3 linked regions of the Mus musculus genome follow. The protein of the gene in region 1 purifies or fractionates together with the protein of each later gene. This does not show direct contact. Links are inferred from orthologs where the notes say so. Each region holds a gene or a part of one and is shown in the gene's direction. Other genes may lie near its edges.

Region 1 (7,063 bases):
GAAACTCCTTAGGCTTCAGAAGGGTTAATCCTCACTGGGCACTCATTCTCCATGCTTGCTTCCTGTCCTTACCCCAGGCTATGGATGGAGGCAGATTTCCCATGCATATCACAAAGGAGTAGAGAGTTAAGAGGCCCAGTCAGTCCCATTGTGCCAGCAGGCTTAGAGACAGCATCTTTGCTTTGATAAGGTTACCACAGTTTAAGGTTTAGGTTCTAATCCCTGCTACCCCAGCCTTGTGAGAGGGAGATGAGCTATTTAAATCCCCAACCTGTCACCCATTGGCCACAGGGACAGGGACAGGATATCTGGCCCAGAAATAGTAAAGATAAGAGGTACTTTGTCCTGGACGAAGCTTTATAGGTGAAAGTTGAATACCGCATGTGTGTGATGTAACCAACACGGATAGGCTTGGTTTTGTAAGAAGCCACATTTGAGCCAGGTGGTGGTGCCAAATGCCTTTAGTCCTAGCACTAGGGAGTTTGAGGACAGCCTGATCTACAGAGTGAGTTCCAGGACAGCCAGGGATACACAGAAGCCCTGTCTGGAAGAGCAGCCAGGGGGCCTCCGCTGAGCAGTCCTGTCACTTGTGAGTGCCATATTTGTTCTGAAACTTCTGCTAGTTCTAACAAAGACTGCCTCTAAAAATTAAGGATAGATATTAGAACTCTCTTTGCTTTTTAATATTGAGGTTATTCTGGAATTTTCTTCATGAAAGCATGGGAGTTCTTTGGAATTTAGGAAGCAAAAGCCAAAGGGAGTATCCACTGGGCAGTGCCCCTGACTGGTTAGCACTCCCAGGCTGAGTGTGTGGTGGTATGCCCATTCACAGCGGCGAAGGTGAGGGTCCTTTACCCGGAGGCCTGGGCTTGCGTCCAGGCTCTTGTCCTTTCTCACCTCCTGTCACACAGCAGGAACATCTCAGCTGTGCATCATGTTTGGTTTTGAATGGAACCAGGTAGAGAAACAATAGCGGCCGTGCACAAGACAAAGCACAGCAGTACGGTAAGGCAGTGCCTTCCTTCCAGGCCCTTCATAGGAGGCCTCCTTCATCCGTGTGGCCTCTGAGCCGTGTCACAGTGCTCATATTCTGCCCATAGCCTTCCTGACACCCATACCTCTTCCTCAGGGGACATGCTGCTTACGGTTCAGCTGTTAACATTGTGGGAGATGACACTTACATTGGGGCCACTTACTTCATGACCTACCACACCATACTTAAGACCTCCGCTGACTATACTGATGCCATGAAGAAAGCTCGGCTAATAGCCAGTAACATCACGGAAACCATGCGTTCTAAGGGGAGTGACTACCGCGTATTCCCTTACAGGTGAAGCAGGGAGGGCGGGCTCTAGAGGGTGGGGTAGGGACTGCAGATCCTTCGCTCTCATTCTGACAGCTGCTTTATCCTCAACCAAGAGTAGTGTATGAGGGGCATTTGAGGTGAGCGGGCCAGTGTCTTTAGCCTCTGCTGTGCTCTGAGGACCGAACACAGACGTTGGTGTGTTGTCCCAGCCCAGAGAGTCACAGGAGAGTGAGCCTTGCACAAGGGACATGCTGGCAGGGATCCCTGCTGCCTGCTCATTCCTTGGGACATTGCTCTGATAACAGACTTCATTGGCTGGGGTCAGGGTTTGTTTTGTTGCTGCTGCTGCTTTCTCTGTGGAAAGTCAGGAAGGCAGAGCAGTCAAATGATTGCTCTTCTCAAACTGTGTGGTTAAATAATTCCAGCCTTTACGTGCAGACTTCCGGAGTAGGTGTCCTAGTTCTTGGGCAGTTCCCAGAACAGACCTGATTGGTTTCTTTCTTTTCCAATATGGGATTTTTCTGGAAGTGTTTATAAGGTAGCAAAAATTGAGCTTACAAGTAAAAAGTCTATGTAAGCACACATTCGGGGTAACTATCAGGCTGTCTTTGGATGTCAGTGGCTTTGCTCTAGGTGCATGGTGCCTGTGTGGGGTGGTGTCTGTCAGGGTGGGATAAAGAGGGAAGACCTGGGAGGACAAGCTCTAACCAGATAACTCTTCCTCTCCCAACCCCCCAGTGTGTTCTACGTCTTCTATGAACAGTACCTGACCATTATTGATGACACCATCTTTAACCTCAGTGTGTCTCTGGGCTCCATATTTCTGGTGACCTTGGTGGTTCTGGGCTGTGAGCTGTGGTCTGCGGTCATCATGTGTATCACCATAGCCATGATCCTGGTCAACATGTTCGGTGTCATGTGGCTGTGGGGCATCAGTCTGAATGCGGTCTCCTTGGTCAACTTGGTGATGGTTAGTCCTGGCCTTCTCTCACTTTGTCCCTAGCTCCTGGGAGTCTTGCATGAATTGTTCCTTGGATTTCATGTAAGTCCTAAAGTGGCCTGAAACACAGGTGCCACTTAGCTACATGGCAAATATGAGGTCAGCCAGAAGTAAATGAAATTGTCTGAAAACAAAAAACCATGTAGCCTAGTGACATTAAGACACTCGAGTTTGACTTACCAGGCTATTCTGTAGGGTTTCCTGTACAAGTTGCCCAGCATGCAAGTACTTAGGAAGTATTGAAGATGTAGTCAGGCCTGGTGATGCACACCTTTAGTCCTAGTACTCAGGAGGCAGAGGCAGGTGGAGTTTGAGATCAGTCTGGTCTACACAGGGAGTTCCAGGGCAGCCAGGGCTACAGAGAAAAATGGAGGGGCAGCTTAAAACATACTAATGGGAGGTAAACCCCCAGAACACCTTCAGCATGATGGGTTGGCGGTATGCTGCCTCAGTGGGGAAGGATAGGTAACCTTGGGAAGTTTCCAGAAATGTCCTTAATCAAAACCAAGATACTGTAGAAAAGTAGAGGCCTGGGTAGAGCCTTCAGGACCCAGGGTTTCCTCCTGTAGTTTAGAAGAATTTTCAGCTGGAAAAGCTCTGTTCTAATGGGGACGCTTTATTCCAGAGCTGCGGCATTTCTGTGGAGTTCTGCAGCCATATAACGAGAGCATTCACCATGAGTACCAAAGGAAGCCGAGTGAGCCGGGCGGAAGAGGCACTGGCCCACATGGGTAGTTCTGTGAGTATTGTTGGCCCCAGGGTGGGTGGGCTTGCAATGGGAATGCTTCTTCAGTGACTGGCTACTACGTCTCAGAAAAAACACAAATTCAGAGGATAAAACAATTTGGATCCATTCTGAAAATGGCAGCTCCCAGCAATGACAAATTCTCACATGATTCACTAAATAGCTATGTCTGAAACAGACCTGAAATCCCTCAGACTTGTCCTTGCTGTGTGATGTCTTAGACAATCAGATGGCTTAATCAGGAAAGTTAGGAAACGTTAGGCTTGAGAGAGCTGGAAGCCAGTATTATGGTGACACAAGGGGTCTCGTGAGTTCCAGGTGGCACTGGGTTGTCTGTAGTTAATGCCCTGAGGTCCTGATCCAGCCCTTTATCCTGCTGTTCCCCATCACTCAGTCCGCCACTCTGGAAAGTATCAGTGAAAACGTAAGCCTCTGCTTTGTAACAACTCCAGGCCAGCAAGATAGCCAGCATGTCTGAGGGGAGCTTGCTCGGCAAGCCTGGTTTTGATCCCCAAACCCACATGATCGATAGAAGAGAAGAGATGATTGTATAGAGTTGACCTCTGACCTCAATATGTGCTGCAGAAACACACACACACAAAGTCTTCTAAGTTTCCATCTAAGAATCTGCCTTGGTTCAGACTGCTTACTTGTTTGTTTGTTTGTTTATGTATTTTGGTTTTTCGAGACAGGGTTTCTCTGTAGCCCTGGCTGTTCTGGAACTCACTTTGTAGACCAGGCTGGCCTTGAACTCAGAAATCCGTCTGCCTCTGCCTCCCAATGCTTATTTATTTTTTAAAGATTTATTTATTTACTATTATATGTAAGTACACGGTAGCTGTCTTCATAAGAGAGAAGAGGGCGTCAGATCTCATTACGGATGGTTGTGAGCCACCATGTGGTTGCTGGGATTTGAACTCAGGACCTTTGGAAGAACAGTCCGTGCTCTTAACCACTGAGCCATCTCACCAGCCCCAGACTGCTTGATTTTAACAAAACTAGCCAAGACAGTTTTCTGAGAAAATGCATGGCTCTGAAATTTTCCTTCCTTCCTGGGCTGGGAGATGGCTTGAGTCCCCAGCACTCACTTAAGATGGGCACTGCAGTAAATATCTCTGACACCGGTGCTGTGAATAAGTTGGGTAGATCCTGTAGCTCAGACATGAGCCAGCCCGTCCAGCCATATGAGCTCCAATTTCAGAGAGACTGTCTCAAAGCATAAAGTGGGGAGTTGAGGAAGACATCCGAAGTTGACCTCTGACAGCCGCACATTTGCACTCAAACTTCCTTGGATTCATGCATGCTCATAAAGCAGCAGGCCAGACAGTTTGGGTACGGGGCAGGATGTGAGTGGTTGGACACTCACTGCTGAGGAAGGTTTGCGTGGCAATAGATGCTTGCTTACTTATAATAGGCTAACAGCTCACTTCTGCCTCTCCAGGTATTCAGTGGAATCACACTTACGAAATTTGGAGGGATCGTGGTGTTAGCCTTTGCCAAATCTCAAATTTTTGAGATATTTTACTTCAGGATGTACTTAGCCATGGTCTTACTCGGAGCCACTCATGGACTAATATTTCTTCCCGTCTTACTCAGTTACATAGGTAAGAGCATTTCGTTCTTCTCACGGGCGTGGGAGGAACGACATTTACTTAACAGGGCATGGTGTCACAAGCCTGAAATCCCAGGGAGTGGAAGCAGGATGGATCCAAAGTTCAAGGTCATTAACAGTGAGTTTAACCTAAGCTAAAAGACCCTGGCTCAAAGAAAAATTTAAACTTGGACTTTCTAAAGTATTTGAGTTTGTACTGACAGCTAGCTCATACTGCATTAAAACCATAGAAGGAAACAGTAAAACCTCCCCCAGGGCGTCTCGGTTGGCCAGGGCATTTCCTTAGGCATCCTGGAGGCCAGGGCTCACTCCACCTCATACAGTGACGCCCAGTTGAAAAGGTAACAGGATGAGTCTGCCTCACAGCTTTGTTACTAAGTCACTGGAGAGACAGCTCATCGGTTAAGAAAGACACTAGCTGCTCTTCCAGAGGACCCAAGTTCAGTCCCCAGCACCCCCATGGCAGCTCACAACTATAACTCCAGTCAGGGAATCTGACAGCCTCTTCTGGCCTCTGGAGCGCTGCATAGATGCTGTACCATGCAGCATCTTCTGGCTAGGCATGCATGCAGACAAAACACCCACACACAAAAATAAAATAGAAAAAAGCAACAAGAGCATGGCTGGTTTCCATGCCTAGGAGGTTACTTACGCCTTCTCTTGTCTCACACAGGGCCGTCGGTGAATAAAGCTAAAAGACACACCACTTACGAGCGCTACAGAGGGACAGAGAGAGAACGGCTCCTCAATTTTTAGCCTTGTAGCAGGCTTTGGTGACTGTGTTTATGGATAGGTCAAGTTTACTGCAAGACAGCTGCGCTGTCAAGACTGAGCTGGCTTCAGGCTGTGTCCGAGCTGTGTCACATGCAGCTCTACCCACGCTTTTAAACTCAGGAATGCACACCTAACTTGTGAAGCAGTATTAATGGATCTGAAAGCAACAATCGCCAGCCCCTACTGTCGTACCAGTAGAAACCTCATCTTGGGTACAAGGAAGGATAGTTCTGTCACTTTAACTTGTTTCAATGCCTACTTTTAATGGAGGTTATTAAACACTTTAACCTCCCTTCTAGCCCACCACCAACCAGAGATAGTGGGAAAGAAAGGATACAGGGGAAGTGGACCTGTTTAGAAATGGTTCTTTGGAGCAGATCCTGTCTGCATTATCAGGAAACCAGCAATTCAGTTCACGGGTCAGCAGTGGCAGCTCGACCCACTCGCAAACACTTCACGGATACACCAGCAGTGTTGGGATAGGAGCAGCCAGGCCTCAGCAGGAGGGACCAGGGCCGACAGGAACACCAGAGGTTCTTGGCTGTTCCTCTATCAGCGAAGACTGGAGACCAACAAACATTACACAGCTAGCTCTATATTCTCTCTGTGGAGTCCCAACACATGGAGCTCAACTACACAATATAAGGCAGACCAACCAATACATGCCTGTCATTCACGTGTCCTTTCATGTGCTTGCTTTAGGGAAACAGTCCTTCACAAGTCTGCCTTTCACCTGTGTCTGCTTCAGCAAAATGTTCTTTCACATTTGCCCCAGCAAAACCCCATCTAACACAACTGACTTTCCAAAGAACCCTTAAGTTTCCATTTCCCAGTGGCAATAACTGTGACCTGATCCCTACCCCACATGCTGTCTCCTTTTCTTTGGGAGTTAGCAACATTTGAGGATGTTGTAGGTACTTTATTACATTTTTTTGTAGTTTAAAGAGCTTTATTAATGCAATAAATTAACTTTGTACATTTTTATATTAAAAAAAAAAAAAGACTATTAAGGGACTTCAGAATGTTGTAGGCCTCATTAGAGCTTGTTCTCCAAAAACCTGCTTGAAAAAGGCAACGTGTTCTTCACAGTGCTCTCCTGTAAGGACAACGCGGCTCAGTCAGCAGCTGGTTATGGCCCGGGAAGACAGGATGCAGACAACGCTCATGGGTTTTAACTTATTTTTCTTTAATAAAATACCTCCTCCTCCATTTTGAGGTCTTTTATTGCAGAGCTCACACCTTCAGCAGCCAGAGCATCCCTGACCTGTCTGTCACTCATACCGTCTGTGCTGTGTGTGTATACACAGCATAGGCTCATTCTCTCGAGTCCTGTCTTATCACTACTTGCTTAAAACTGAAGCATTCAAAGCCCAAGCCATTTCAAATGCTTCTCCACCATGTGCACTCCTGTTCTGATTCTATAGAGAGATCCCAAAGTCAGATATAAGCTATGCCCTTCAGCCCTGAACTTGATGAAAGCTGCCATTGTCTGTGGCCACCCTGGGCATTCCCTTACCTGGTGTGAAGTTAGGGTTCCCTCGCAGGCGCTGGTTCCGCTGTTCAAAGAAGCGGAATATGGTATAGAAGAGCATGACATCGTCGGTCTGCCTCGCAGCATCTAAGAAT
Region 2 (7,819 bases), on another chromosome or scaffold:
GACCGGTGTTCCCAGAACAAGAAGTCGTCAGAGGCTGGTGTTGACTGAAGCCAGCCATTGGATTTCTGTCTCTCAGCTGTTGTCGGGAAACACTGTTAGGGCAAGTCTGGACTTGGTGAGAATTACTATAACACTCCACTTAATGGTGTCTCCCTAGGCATTAAGAATAGCACCGAATTGTAAAACTCCATGATCTGTTACTTAACTTTAGGACAAGTGGGGAGGCGCTTTGCCCGGCTCTTGCCCCACGGTTCCGGAGGCATGTCTCACAATACATGAGGCATACTTTTATATACCTCTCAGATGAGTCAGGAATCCTAGAGCAAACTCTCAACCTTAAGCCAGGAACTTAGGTAATAGCACCACGCCCTCCTAAATTTTGATGGTATCTGCAAGGTTTCTCCTGATGATTCATGCCACGGATGGTAAAATTCAATGCCTGTCTATGCAGTCAGTCAGAAGCGACATCCCAAGTTGGATCTCTTCACTTAAGAGGCTCGTGGATGATTTAAAGGATCCGAGGGTATATTTTAGAGGCAGGATACTTAGAAAGAGAAGAAAAACACAAATAAGTAGGTTAGTTAGTTCAGAGCTGTTGATAATTTTGGATGAAGGTAAAAAACATTGATTTGAAAGGAAATTTTGCATTTCTTTCATTTATGAAGGTAAGAAACTACTAAAAATTTTTGTTACCAAAAGAAGCAATAGTTGTCACTATAGTTGTTACATGTATCTTTAAATAACATACCTAACCTCATTTGAATTTTTTTCTTCAGCCTTTTATCTAGTTCAGACTAGTTTTAAACCCAATATTCTCCAGTCTCTGTTTTAGCTTCATGGTGAGATTCCAGTCAGTCACCAGCCCTGGCCCTTTATCTTCCTTTGAAAGAATGTTTCTAGAGCTTTCTGATTTGCTGTGCTAAGATCACACCTAACTCAGAGATGCCATTAAGGGCACAGGGTGGCTCCCATGCCAAGATGAGAAGGGCTGTGTCATTACTGTATTTCTGTGGCATACACTCACTTTCAAAGCACTTCGATAATCACATTTCAGTGCACTTGATCCCTTTGGCAATCCTACCCACCTAACTGTGTGCCCTGACAAACAGTATTTTGCGAAGTTATCTGTGATGGAAAGTGCATAAAAAGTACATCTTCTGGGACTTTGAAAGAGCAATTGTTCAGCTGTCTATCAGACAGTGGATACATCCCAGAGTCCCTTAGGGCTGGTCACAGATGTGTGGAACAGGAAGATCTCTTTCTTTTCCCTTTGGTGAGGGGCCAGGTACAAACCGGCATCTGCTTTTCCTTAATGGTTGGTTACAAAACAGAAACCTGGCCTGATGTGCCAGCATCTGCTGGTAATCCTCACGAGGGCAAGGCAAGAGAGCCTCAAATCTGAGGTCACCTCGAGCTGCAATAACAAAACACTGTCAGAAAAGGATGGTCCCCGGGAACTGACTGTGTAGCTTCTGCAAACATTGCAGGTGGGAATTAAGCACTGGGAACAATTAGGAACTGATTTCAAGTTATACCCAGTAGCTGTCGCAATCTCAACGAGTGCCCTCCCTCTTTATATTTTTATAAGTGTATATCAATAAGTATTAAAATGAAAAGGGAGAAAGAAGAGAAAATTGATTAGTACTCCAGTGAGTCCCGAGTTTGTGGTGTTTTAGTCTAAAATCTTTTTTTTTTTTTTTGGTTTTTTTTTTTTCGAGACAGGGTTTCTTTGTGTAGCCCTGGCTGTTCTGGAACTCACTCTGTAGACCAAGCTGGCCTCAAACTCAGAAATCCACCCGCCTCTGCCTCCCAAGTGCAGGGATTAAAGGTGTGCGTCACCACACCTGGCTATAAATCTTAATATAAAAGGATGTAATTCCAACTCTAACTTCTTATATAAGACCTGTCCAGAACCACTTTTTTCCCATCTAAAAGAAGAAAAAAAAGGAAAGGAATATTTAAAATGTCTGAACGAGAGAGATGTCTCAGCACTAAGAACACTGGCTGTATTTCCTGGTGTAGTGGGCACCCTTTTCTGACCTATGTGGATACCAGGCATGAATGTGGTGCATATACTTACATGCAAGCAAAACAACCATGCATATGAAATAAAGAACTAAGGCAAAACATATTACTCTAGGCAGGGCCTTGAGTGGCCCAAGAACTTGGCATATGGAGGTAGACAGATCAGAAGTTCCCTACCAGCCTGGACCACATGAGACCTTATGTTCAAAACAATAAGAACATTTAAAAGTACAATTTTAATAGATTTCATATATATATATAATATACTTTCTGTGTTGTTTAATAATTACTATCTAAATATATTTTATATTTAAATATAGAAATGTTATACACACGTATGTGTAATAACAAAACTAGTGTATGACTGTAGATATGGCTCAGTACTAGCCTAATATGAACAAAGTCCTGAGTTTGTTTCCTAGCTTCTCAAAGCCAAAATTATACACAACAGAGGGGGAAAGTATCCTCAAACACCAGGCCAAAACAGCAAAAAGCAAGCCCAAACTTAACTAAATTAAGGGAACTCCGCAGAGGCCACCCTAAAGTTTTCAGGGAGCTGAGCAGGTGCAGCTGCGCGAGGATCGGAGGCTTGGCGGGGTGTTTGTGAAAGGAATCAAGTTCAGTTGGGTTCCCACGCGGGCATGTGCGGATGTGCTCCGAGGACGAGGCGCCGGGCGGAGCCTGGGCTGCAGAGCCGGCGCTCGGGGCGGGGATCGGGCGCGGCTCCGCGCTCGGGGCGGGGAGCTGGCCCAGCGTCCGGAGCTGCTCGGTCAGGCCCGAGCCAGACGGCGGGCCGGTCCCGCACCATGGGCCGGATGGTGGCTCTGAGTTTGCTGGGCATCGGGCTGGCGCTGCTGGGCGAGCGGTTCCTAGCGCTCAGGTAGGTGCTGCCGAGGGTCCCGGGTCGGGAGTCCCTAGGCTGGGACCGCCGAGCTGATTGGGGCGCTCGCGCGGCGGGTGGGAGGGGGTGAGAGGGGGGGAGGTAACTGGAGAGAGAGCTTGTTTAGTTCGGGGGGGGGGGGGGACCGGATGGAAGGAAGAACTTCGGATAGCTACCGGTGCTCCGTTTAACCGACCCAGTCCACTTCCACCAAGACCTAGACACTTTGGGAAAAAGTTTTCCAGCGCTTGCTGGTGCCGAGGTTCCTCTGCCTAGGCTGACAAGAGAGAGCTTTGCAAATTCCCCAAGGGCAAACCCAGTGCTTTAATTTGAAAACAAAACCATTACTCATGCGTGGACGCTCTAATTATACAGCTTCATTTTAGGTCACTGGTGCTGTTCTGCTCAGCCGGAACCCATCCCTCCCCAGCATTAATAGTTGGTGAAACTTCAGGGTTTCCGTCTTGGCGCTGGAGATCAAAGACGCTTGAGAGAGACAGCTACTGTTCTTACATCATTTCCTTATTTATTGACCAGAGTCCCAGAAGCAGAGCGAGCGATTGTTTGTTCTGGGTAGACATCATACTTTCAAGTTACCAATTCAAACTTTATAAACTTCTTGCAAAAGTGTTCCGGAACAGTAGTACTCAGCTCCTTATAGGGTTAAAGAGAAAAGACAGTCTTCTGTAGGCGTTCTGGGAGGCAACGTAGACTCAGATGAGGAAGGCGGGCAAGTCTGAAGGGTGTGCTTCACACTGGGCCTCTCTCTAATAGGCAAAAGGGAAGCGCCGGCACTCATTGGTTGTTTAGCAGCAAACTGCTATGAGTCTTGCATTGTACAAATAAGCCCGAAGGGCACAGCAACGGGGCCTGGATATTGGGATCTCCCGGAGTCTTGACGTCCAAGTAGCACCATGTGAAACATTCTAATTCAGTTGGTTCTGATAGGGCATCGGCCTTGGGTTTTGGGTGCTTTTCTAAATTTTAAATGAATTCTTGGTTTTGAGACGAAGTCTCACTGTGTATCCTCTGTTTTGAAGCTCAGTCTGGTCTCAAAACTCAGGATTCTTTGGTCTCCTGACTTCTGCTATTATAGGCACACGCCAGCATGACAGTCAGATTTCCTTCTCTTCTCTTCTCTTCTCTTCTCTTCTCTTCTCTTCTCTTCTCTTCTCTTCTCTTCTCTCCTCTCCTCTCCTCTCCTCTCCTCTCCTCCCCTCTCCTCCCCTCTCCTCTTCTTTCTTCCTTTTATCTTTTTTTTTTTTATTTTTAACGTTTATATCTTTGCTAATAATGTGCAGTGTAGCTCAGGGACAGAGCACTTGCCCAGAATGCACGAAGCTTGGGATTCTAGCCCCAGCACCACACTACAAAATCACAACACGAAGCACACCCCTCTCTTAGCAATCCTCTTGTACAGTATGCATTAAGCATTGAGAGATGCTGGACTAGGCATGGGGAAAGCACTTTGGGAATGATAAAGGAGACCCAGACTGCATCCCCAAGAATGAGAGTCAAATCAAAGTATAGCACATCTTGCAAGGCAATTCCAGTGTCCCATAGCTGCAGCTTCACTTAGAAGAAGGCCCTGTGAGAAGTGGACATGGTGGGAGCACTGCAACAGGGAGAAAGTCAGCCTTATGCCTGTGCCAGGGAATGGCAATGTGGCTTCATTGTCATGGCACGGAAATGCTTCTGCTCCTGTAGACTCTCCACACATTGGATGGGTCGGGCTAGCCTTTGTTTTTAATCGATAAATAATAAACACACATACTTATGGGCTAAGGTGTTATATATAACGAGATCTGCAGTGATTACCACAGCAGTCACCGTAAGCACTTGCTTTTTCTTTGAGATGAGAATGTTAAGCATTCTTTCTTCCTGGTTTGAAGCATACACTACTATTAGCTCACGTCACTGCACTGCCTGTCTTCTAATCAGACCATTCTGCCCTTTGGCCAGTCTCGCTGCCGCCAATGGCTCGGCCTTATCCTTGAGTAACTACTGTTCTTATTTTTTTTTCATTAGATATTTTCTTTATTTACATTTCAAATGTTATCCCCTTTCCTGGTTTCCCCTCCAAAACTCCTTATCTCCTCCCCTGCTCCCCAACCCACCCACTCCTAGTTCCTGGCCCTGGCATTCCTCTACACTGGGGCATAGAACCTTCACAGGACCAAGGGACTCTCTTCCCATTGATGACCAACTAGGCCATCCTCTGCTACATATGCAGCTAGAGTCATGAGTTCCACCATGTGTACTCTTTGGTTGGTGGTTTAGTGCCAGGGAGCTCTGGAGATACTGGTTAGTTCATATTGTTGTTCCTCCTATGGGGCAACTACTTTTATATTCAACTTCTATTCATATCTGTGAATTTTCCCATTTTTTCATTCTTGCTTCCTTCACTTCTTCCTTCCCTCCCCTCTCCTCTCCTCTCCTCTCCTCTCCTCCCCTCCCCTCCCCTCCCCTCCCCTCCCCTCCCCTCCCCTCCCCTCCCCTTCCCTTCCCTTCCCTTCCCTTCCCTTCCCTCTCTCCTTCATTCTTTCCTTCCTTCCTGGCTCTTTAAGACAGGGTCTCTCTTTGTCTATCCCAGACTGGCATCTGTGTCATGAAAATCTTCTCGTCTCAGTCTCCTGAGTATGAAAACCACATACATGCAACACCGTGCCTCTACAATCCCTTTCTCTCACTGTATCTGTTGTATAAGTCCCCCCACATTGTCGTTTCCCATTTATCTGTTGATGGGAGGGCGCTTAGGCTGTTCCTATTTGGGGCCTGTTATGTATCCTGAGCCTCCTGGGATGCGAGCATCTCTTCAGCACTGACTTCTCTCTCTTTGGATATATCTCCAGTCCTGGGATTGCTGGTCATATACGAGACTTACACTTTAACAAGTTGTAGGGCGTCTCCGTTTCTGTTTCACAACGTCACAGTACTTTCCACCCACAGAAAGTAAAGGATGCCTTTCTGAACAAGGTGTGTGGCTCAGTGGTTCAATGTCGAGTCCGTGGGAGCACGTGTTCAAGCTCCAGAGTAGAGATGAGCTCACTGCTGCTTTCTCTCTTTTTGGCAGTAGTCGTTGTAACTAGAGCAAGATTGTATCTCTTAGAACATTTTATTTGCATTTCCCTGATTATCAGGGATGTAGGTTATTTCTTCATAACCACAGTAGCCATCATTTATCTTTTTCCAAGAAGTCTCCACTCAGGGTGGTTGCTTATTTGGAAACTGGGTTGTTGGGTTTTTGTTTGTTTGCATTGCTCTGTTTGCTAATGGGTTAGGTGTGAGCTAATGCAGGTTTCTGACATGTCCTGGCTGTTAGCGATGGTATTGCAAGTGTGTCCTCCCATCCTGTGGCCATTTCTTAAATCTGCTGATCGCTTGCTTCGTTTGGCAGGCGCTGTGCAGTCTGGTGTTGTCCATTGGTGTTTTTTCCTGCACTCTTTAGGCTCTTGCAGTCAGGTGCTTCTGCGCAGCCCACTCAGCTTTCAGTAGTAAAAATGGGACGTGAAAATTCCTAGACTCCTTCAGTTATCACCGATGGTTGAACCATCATTGTTTCCACAAACTGAAATTTTCTCGATGAATAGTCAACTCTTCCCCCTTTCCTTATTCACATTAAGGTCCAAAGCTGAAGTCTCTTGGATTGACAGGTATAGTCACAAATTAAGAAAAAGTAAATATACCCATCAGGGATGCGACTGAGGAGATGGCTAGTAGAGGGCATGAGATGCAAGGATGAGGACCTGAATGTGAACCCAAAGGACGCATGCAAAAATCCTACATGGCCATGTGGGCCTGTAAGGCCAGACTGTCCCTAGGCAGTACAATGGAGAGCAATAGAGGAAGGTACCCAGTGTCCTCATAGGATTTCTGTATGTATATATGAGTATATATATCCACACACCCACAACACATAGACCCACACACATGCACACACACACACACACACACACACACACACACGCACACACATGGACACATGGATACACATATACACGTCCATGTACATGCATGGACAGGCAAATATACACACACATGCACACACTGAATGCAGAGGTGCGGAGGGTAAGTAATTTACAACTTGGTGCAAGCTTTCTTTATAAAGCTCTGGCTAAGATAAACTTCGATGAGCAGTGATTTTAGAGCTAGTGACTTGGTGACTTCATTGGCAAGCTGAAACTCCGAATAGAGTGATGCAAGAATGTAGGGTGAAATGTTATATAGTTTGATTGTCCCACCCCCACCTCCCAAAAAACAATCAGGTTTTTCCAGTTAAGTTGGAATTTCAGATTAACAGAGAATCATTGTGTGTGTGTCTTCTATGTGTGTTTGTACATGTATGCATTTATATGTGTCCATGAGTGTGTATGTTCCCATGGAGGCCAGAGGTGAACATTGAGTGTCTTCCTCAATTGTTTTCTACATTATGTTTAAAAACAGGGTCTCTCATTGAGCCAGGAGCTCGCTGATTCAGCTACACTGGCTCACCAGCAGACTCCATGGACCCTCCTGTCTCTACCTTCCCCGTACAGGGTTTCAGACCTGGTCCTCTGCATCCAACTTTCACACAAGTGCTGAGGGTGAAACTCGAGTCCCCGTGACTGTGCAGGAAGCACTTTATCCACTGAGCTATCTCGGCCGCCCACGTCATTCTTTAGCACAATGTACATATAACACATTTTAGAAAAAGCATGCAGTTTGAGACACCATTTCACTAAAGGTAGATTTAGCTGAGCACTCTATATTGCATATGGTGACCATGTATGTGACTGGAGCATAGCCTGACTCTCCTGCCTGCAGTGTGGTGACATTCTCTCAGACTCGCAGGGTCTACTTCAAAAATCAACAGGCTCTGAGATCCCTGCAGGAAAGGATTTCAGAGCAAGGAGAAGGCCCTGGGCTATGCACTCT
Region 3 (7,663 bases), on another chromosome or scaffold:
ATGGTCCAAAATTAATAATGTATCTTCCTATCTCAACGATCTGGCTCAGAAGTAAGTCTTCCCACATCAGATGGGGTTTTTTTGGTTGTTGTTGTTGGTTTTTTTGTTTTGTTTTGTTTTTTGTTTTGTTTTGAGACAGGGCTTCTCTGTATAGCCCTGGCTGTCTTGGAACTCACTTTGTAGACCAGGCTGGCCTTGAACTCAGAAATCCGCCTGCCTCTGCCTCCCGAGTGCTGGGATTAAAGGCATGCACCACCACGCCCGGCTCACATCAAATGATTTAATTAAGAACAAAATAAACCCTCACAGGTGTTTTTTGAGTTTCAGATGTAGTCAAGTTGATGACCAAGAAGAACCACTATATTATACTTGTAGTATTAAAATCCATCCTGCAAGAATTCCTTTAGCAGGATGGAAACCAACTCAAAACAGCTTCAGGAAGTCCCTGAAACTGACCAAATTTACTAGACTCCTCCCTGCTATAGTAAGCAATAAATGCTGAGAGTCCCATTTAGACAAAGTGAAGCCAAGCTGCAAAAAAGTATCTTGAGACCAGACTAGTCCTGAAGAAACAGACTAGTCAAGCTGCTTGGGAGAGGTTTAGACTAGAGTCTCTTGAAAAGGACACTACAACCTGTAGAGCCTTCAGGCTGCTTCCAGGTTTTGTGAGCTGTCACCCATGCTGGGCTGGGCTTTGGTGATGCAGCTGTCTTTGACTCTGATTTCTGTTCCTGCAAGTAACTCCTCACCCACAGTCCAGCAAGTAACCCCAATAAAACTCATTAGTTCACCAAATTGGATTTTGGTGGTATCTGTACTTTCAATTGTCATAGGCTCCCTATCTGAAGTGTGTTGTGTTTCCTCAGGAAACATTTTGTCACACAACAATAAGTCTTCTGAAATTGGCAAAGGTGAAAAGAGAGAGGACAGAATTTCTTTTTTTTTTAAATATATGTATTGGTGTTTTGCCTGCATGTATGCCAGTATATCATGTGGGTACAATTCCCACAGAGGCTAGAAGGAGTCAAATCTACTGGAACTGAGCTACAAACAGTTGTGAGCCACCATATGCATGCTATGAATCAAATCAAGATCCTCTGGAAAAGCAGAAGAGCAGCTAGTGCTGTTAACCACGGAGGCATCTCTCCAGCCTCAAGATTTCACATATTTTTAGAAACTAGACCTGAAAATGTCTTACAGCATTTCTGTTTCCATTTTATTATCTGGAATAAAACCACCTGGTACATGGCCCCATATACAGAGATTATAGAATGTATTTTGGTCGCTCAAGAGCAAAAGGAAAGCCGGGCATGGTGGCGCACACCTTTAATCCCAGCACTCAGAAGGCAGAAGCAGGCAGATTTCTGAGTTCAAGGCCAGCCTGGTCTACAAAGTGAGTTCCAGGACAGCCAGGGCTATACAGAGAAACCCTGTCTCAAAACAAAACAAAACAAAACAAAACAAAACAACCAAAAAAAAAAGCAAAAAGAAATGTCTCTGCCACATAAAAATGCCATGAAAAGCCATTCCCCATGTTTCGTGAACCCCTCCCTTATATTTGCCTGATGGATTTCATTCCATCAGTTCTTTGTGTTCTAGCTCCTTTATGGGTTTGGCTGTTGTTCTTGTTGTTGCTTTAGACATGGTTTCCTGAGGCCTCTGCTGACTTTTGCTATGGTGACCTTGAACTGATCTTGGTGCCTTCCCACGTTCTAGAATTACAAGCAATACATGTCTTACATTGTCTTTTTCTAACTAACATGTATAATCCTAACCATGTGCCAGGCACTAATTACTTTAAAAAATTAATTCATTTAATGTTAATCATAATGAAGGTATGGGCTACGAAGCAGATACTTTTTAATTTAGTCTATGTTACAGATAAAGCTATCAATGCATACTCTTAAATGCTGACACATATGGGCTCTCTGTCTTAGATCTTAGTCCAATTTTGCTCCCCTCCTCTATTTAGCCCAGAATCATTCTGTGTCAACATCGAATCCCATAGCTCCCCAGTGGACAAATCTATTGGTTTTCAAGGTCTTTCACACTTTTGTGCTTCAGAACATAGAATGAATCATAGGATCGGAGAAAACACTAAGCTAAACATGCATGGTGGTGCGCGCCCCTGATCCCAGTATTGGAGAGGCATCGATCGAGGCTATCCTAGTCTATAGGCTAGCTAAAGTTGTCTAAAATATTACAAATATATGTACACATACATATATACATAAATGCATGTATGCTGTCTCACACTCCTCTGCTCTTTGACTCCTGGAATAGTTCCCATTGACTCTCTCTCTCTCTCATGGACACTTCAGATATCACCGCTTCTTTCCTAAGGTTCCCAGTGGCACTATCTTCAACCTGCTTCTGTGCTAGCAGACCTAGAAAGCTCTACTTCTGGGCTCGCTAGCTCAGGTGGGCCAATCCATTCTGGGTCTCCCCGCTTGGGGACACCAAGATTGAACCCAACAGGGTGGCAGCCAGGAGGCGAGGCCCCGCCTCTCACCTCTCTTGCAGACCAAGCCACTAAACCCTACGCTCTCCCCTCTAGAAAATGGTTCAATCCAGAGGCGGTGCTAGGTGACCCGGACGTTCCGATTGGCCCCGGCGAGCCGTACCACGGTGGCGGGGGCGACCGTAGGCAGCGGCTTTTGAGTCGTGAACCCACAGCCTGTGGCCCTAGTTCGGTCTTACGTTGGTGGTGCCAGGCTGCCCGCTAGAATGCCGTGGGCCGCGGGACGGCGGTGGGCATGGATCACCCTGATTCTGACTATTATCGCAGTGCTGATCCAGGCCGCCTGGTTGTGGCTGGGCACTCAAAACTTCGTCTTCTCTAGAGAAGAAATAGCGCAGCTTGCTCGACAGTATGCGGGTGAGCCGGTGAGGGCGGAGAGTGGGGTGGGCCGACACGGAGCGGAGCCGCGCTTTCCGAGGGCTGGTCCTCGCCAAGCTCAGACCGCGGGCTGGTCTCACCCGCGCTTCTCCTTTTTGCACCAGGGCTGGACCATGAGCTTGCCTTCTCTCGGCTGATCGTGGAGCTGCGGAGGCTGCACCCAGGCCACGTGCTGCCGGATGAGGAGCTGCAGTGGGTATTTGTGAACGCGGGCGGCTGGATGGGCGCCATGTGTATTCTGCACGCCTCGCTGTCTGAGTACGTGCTGCTCTTCGGCACCGCCCTGGGCTCCCATGGCCATTCGGGTCAGTGTTGGCGGTGGGTCGGATTGGGAGGCTGGGACTGTTCGAGGGCCGGTGCCCTCCATTCCAAGGTTTGGCTGGGCCGTGTATTGACAAGGATTCCCTGATGGTCGGTGTCTATTTTACTGTCAATCAGGACGATACTGGGCTGAGATTTCTGACACCATCATCTCTGGCACCTTCCACCAATGGAAAGAGGGCACCACGAAAAGTGAGGTCTTCTACCCAGGTGCGTAGGGAAGTTCTGTCCGAGGGGGCGCCCTCTAGATAGGGACGGGCATAAGACTTGGAAAGGGCGTGTTTAGAAGGCCTACCAGTGATTTCCTTCCTTCCCTCCCTGGTAAGCCACAGGTGTTTCGTTAGGGTCGAGCTAGGAACCCTGATGCTTTCGACTGTTAAGGGAAACAGAACACGGCAGTTTCCAGTCATAGAGAACTTGATTTTTTTTATCAGCCTGTTTAACCCAGCAATTATCTGGGTTATACCCAAAAGTTAAGACAGGCATTTGTTTCCTTAAACTAGAGTGGCAGTTTGGGGTTTTTGTATTTTTGTTATTGTTTGTTTTTATGCGTCTGGGTTTTGCTTACACACACCAACCCCTTAACTGCCTGGTGCCTTAAAGGCCAGAAGAGGGCATCTGATCCCAGAGACTGAAGTTATAGACTGTTGTGAGCCTTCATGTGGGTGCTGGGAAGTGAACCTGGGTCCTCTGGAGTAGGAGCCAGGGCACAGCTGAGCCATCTGGCTAGCAAACTCCTGGTGGTGTTTTTTTAATGTACCTCTGAATCTGTTTAAAAGAAAAAAAGGCGTGGGCTTGCTGGTGTAAGGTTAAGCATCACACTTTGTGACTGAACAGGCGCATTTCTCAGAGAGCCTGGCAAGCCCTGTAACCACACAGAATTTCCACCAGATATGAGTGCAGCTTGGAAATGCAGATGCCATAATTCTATACGTTAGCCTGTAGCTGGGTTGGGTGGCCTTCCAGGGGCCAGGTGATGCCATTGGTATTAGGTGTTTTGGTCTTTGTCCTCTGATCAAGCAGCTTGGCCAGTAGGGTAGAAGAACTTTTTCTTTTCTTGAAACTGTCTTTTCATTCCCCTCCTCTCCATAGATAGCCCATAGGCTAGACAAATGCAGTATGGAAGGCCAGGGCAGAGCTGGGCTCCTCATGAGGTTTCTTATCCTGTCTGTCTCCCAGGAGAGACAGTTGTACACGGGCCTGGAGAAGCAACGGCTCTGGAGTGGGGACCAAACACGTGGATGGTGGAGTACGGCCGGGGTGTTATTCCGTCTACCCTGTTCTTTGCACTAGCCGACACTTTCTTCAGCACCCAGGACTACCTCACACTCTTCTATACCCTTCGGGCCTATGCCCGGGGCCTCCGGCTTGAGCTTACCACCTACCTCTTTGGCCAAGACTCCTGACCAGCCAGGCCTGAAGGAAGATCTGTGGATGGACAGGAGCGCGGCAGGACCACATCCATCTCTCTACTCGCTGGAACTCATATTCAGACAGCAGCGTATACCATGCAGATATTAAGTACCTGCTGTATGAGGAAGGACATACATACTTGTACATCCAGACACAGCTCTTGGGAAGCAAATGAGACACAGAGATGCTAAGACTTGTATGTACTGTAAGATCATGCACTCACATCCACCCAGAAAGGGTCCTCTACATATACTCCAGGGGGCCAGTCATGTTTGAACACACATCACAAGCTTGACTCACTGACTCAGGCTTTCCTAGAGCCTCCTGCTGGCATTCAGGGCTCTGGGATCAAGGGTTGAGGTAGATGTTACACACTACCTCACTCTGATGCCTCATTCCTGTAGTAATCTCTGGTGAAGGGAAAGAGGAGCTGCCCTTCGGAGGTCCCCTTCACCTGCAGCTATGATGCCCTTCCCTTCATCCCTTTCCTCACCATATGCCTTATCTCCATTCCACTCCCCTGCTATGCAAATGCCCCCCTGGCTTGTCCTCCCTGCCCCCCCCCCCCGGCAACCAGTTCAGCTGGGAAAGCAGAGGCATGTAGAGGATGCTAAAGGGAAGGGAGGTCCTCCACTACGGAGACCCTTGTTGGGGTTAGAATGGGAAAGCTGGCTAGTGCCCCAGGGCCAGTTCCCAAGGAGAGGACCTGGAGAAGTAAGCCGGGGTCCAAGGAGCCACCCCATTCCAAAAGAAGCCTTTAGTGTGTGTGTGCACACCCTATCAGTTTCCAGACATATCTGTTGCAATCTCTGTCTTCTTGTCTCTCTCTGTTAATAAAAACATATTAAACAGTTTCGTTTCCTTATGTGTCTAAACAGCAGGGAAGCCAGCTGCCTCCTGGGGCACTAAAAGGCCTCCTGTACAATCCAGTTTGTAAGACAAGGTTTAGACAGAAGGGAGTGTGCTAAGAATTACTTTGAAGTCAGCCTTCTAGGGGTGGTGGTGTTAAACCTTTGGCTCTAGACTCAGCTCTGCCTGCTGTTGGCATCTGAGTGTTGGAACTGGAAGTGAGCACCACCACACCCAGAGTGCCCCCCCCCACCCCCCGCAATATAAAGCTGACTTAGAATTTACGATGTGATACTGAAATTCACCGTGAACTTAACCTCCAGCTTCCACTTCCTAGGACTGAGAATTAAGGCCAAGGCTTTGTGCAGTCTGGGCAAGCGCTGTGCTAACCACACCCTTAGAAGACAGATGAGTCACTGAGGCTGGCTGGCTTGCATCTATAGAGATAAATTTTTTTTTTAATTTTATTTCTTTTTTTATATGAGTACACTGCAGCTGTCTTCAGACACACACTAGAAGGGTGCTTTGGATTCCATGACAGATGGTTGTGAGCTACCATGTGGTTGCTGGGATTTGAACTCAGGATCTCTGACAGAGCAGTCAGTGTTCTTATCTGCTGAGCCGTCTCTCCAGCCCCTCGAGATAAGTTTTTGAATATGAAAAAATGAGACCCGTGTGTCTACTTTGCTAGTCTGTCCTAGAGGTGGTCCTGAGAACTTCACTGCACATGGCCATGGGGTGGCACTGTGCTCCCACATTTGAGCTGAAACAGACCTCAGCTGGTTCTTCCGGGCTGACAGAATAGAGTACACCACTAACTGGAACAAGAGTTCCTCTGCTCTGGTTTGCCTTTGACCCAGCACTTATTGGGGAGCTCCTGCCTGGGGCAGGATCAGGCAAAATACACAAGGCAGATAGAGCCAAAAGTACACTCATTCCTAAGGACCTTGCTCATGGCTTTTTTGCCCACAGGTCACCAAGCTCATGCCACCTTCATCCTGGTCCTATTTAGGTTGAATAAAGTCCGGACCCTTCCTATTTCTTGGAGTTGTTAAACTAATATTGGGAGAAACAAGGTTATATAGTTAAACAGTCTAACGAACACAAATACAAAAGGCTACGTGCATAACCTTATTTGACAATGTCATCAAAGGTCTAGCCAGGCATAGTGAGTGGCTCACGCCTATAATATCAGCATTTGGGAGGCAGACGCAAAAGGATCTATGCAAGTTCCATGCCAGCCAGGTGTCCATAGTAAATGTAGACCAGCAGGACTATAGGATGAGACTGTCTCAAACAACAAAAAGCATCAACAATTTGAAACCCAGGCAAATTGGCTATCTTGATACCTTCTCTGAGCTCTCATTACCACCATGGTGGCTGTGACAAGCCCTAGCTGCAGCCTCTTGATCTTTATAGACAAATTCTGCATGGTACCCAGTTCTACCTCTAGTCTAGGAACACATGGATATCAGGGATGCCCATATGTCCCATCACCTGTCTTATAAAGGACTATCCTCCCTGCCCCCATCTCTGTTGTTAAAGCCAGTGGTCATTCCATAGTTTTTAACTTTCGTTGTTGGTATTGGAACTCAAATCTGAAGTCTTAAACATTCTAAGCATGTGTTCTACCACTAATCTAGTCCTGTGGCCCTCAACTTTTGATACAGATAAATCTCTTAAGACAAATTTGGGCTTCAAGGATTCTTTTTTTCTTTCTTTTACATATATGAGTACACTGTAGCTGTCTTCAGACACACCAGAAGAGGGCATCAGATCCCATTACAGATGGTTGTGAGCCACCATGTGGTTGCTGGGAATTGAACTCAGGACCTCTGAAAGAGCAGTCAGTGTTCTTAACCACTGAGCCATCTCTCCTGCCCTCCCAATTCTTTTTTTTCTTTATTGGTACTTTCCCCCCTTTATTTTGGCAGATCCTTATCCCTTTGTAACTTTAAATGCCGTCTACAGGGCTGAAGGGATTGGTCAATAGGTAAAAGTACATGCTATAAAATATGAGGCCCCATTTTCAGATCCCAGCACCCATGTTAAAAGCTGAGCATAACCACCTATGTGCTTATAACCCCTGCAATGCACAGGGTGTATAGGGGGTCAGGGGGGGCTTGCTGGGGTTTGCCAATCCATAGCATACTTTCGAGTTCAGCGAGGCACCCTGTCTCA

Evidence for each region.
Region 2: the proteins of Npc1 (region 1) and Pon2 purify together in Homo sapiens (affinity purification with mass spectrometry; 3 studies listed by BioGRID and IntAct, with this or other methods). This does not show direct contact. The link is inferred for Mus musculus from reciprocal best matches to the Homo sapiens genes NPC1 and PON2.
Region 3: the proteins of Npc1 (region 1) and Sigmar1 purify together in Homo sapiens (affinity purification with mass spectrometry; 3 studies listed by BioGRID and IntAct, with this or other methods). This does not show direct contact. The link is inferred for Mus musculus from reciprocal best matches to the Homo sapiens genes NPC1 and SIGMAR1.

What each region holds. Positions count from the first base shown.
Region 1 is NC_000084.6:12,189,276-12,196,338, reverse strand, and holds the end of Npc1 (NPC intracellular cholesterol transporter 1 precursor), read left to right. Parts: intron 1-1,129; coding exon 1,130-1,330; intron 1,331-2,044; coding exon 2,045-2,276; intron 2,277-2,931; coding exon 2,932-3,045; intron 3,046-4,492; coding exon 4,493-4,655; intron 4,656-5,336; coding exon 5,337-5,419; 3' UTR 5,420-6,453; coding exon of another isoform or gene 6,454-6,533; 3' UTR 6,534-6,645; downstream 6,646-7,063. Other genes in the region: Rmc1 (regulator of MON1-CCZ1 complex), read right to left, coding at 6,454-6,533, 6,954-7,063. UniProt on the Homo sapiens protein: Intracellular cholesterol transporter which acts in concert with NPC2 and plays an important role in the egress of cholesterol from the endosomal/lysosomal compartment.
Region 2 is NC_000072.6:5,293,298-5,301,116, reverse strand, and holds the start of Pon2 (serum paraoxonase/arylesterase 2), read left to right. Parts: upstream 1-2,776; 5' UTR 2,777-2,831; coding exon 2,832-2,905; intron 2,906-7,819. UniProt on the Homo sapiens protein: Capable of hydrolyzing lactones and a number of aromatic carboxylic acid esters. Has antioxidant activity. Is not associated with high density lipoprotein.
Region 3 is NC_000070.6:41,736,317-41,743,979, reverse strand, and holds Sigmar1 (sigma non-opioid intracellular receptor 1), read left to right. Parts: upstream 1-2,620; 5' UTR 2,621-2,727; coding exon 2,728-2,878; intron 2,879-3,003; coding exon 3,004-3,204; intron 3,205-3,337; coding exon 3,338-3,430; intron 3,431-4,399; coding exon 4,400-4,626; coding exon of another isoform or gene 4,627-4,741; 3' UTR 4,742-5,487; downstream 5,488-7,663. UniProt on the Homo sapiens protein: Functions in lipid transport from the endoplasmic reticulum and is involved in a wide array of cellular functions probably through regulation of the biogenesis of lipid microdomains at the plasma membrane.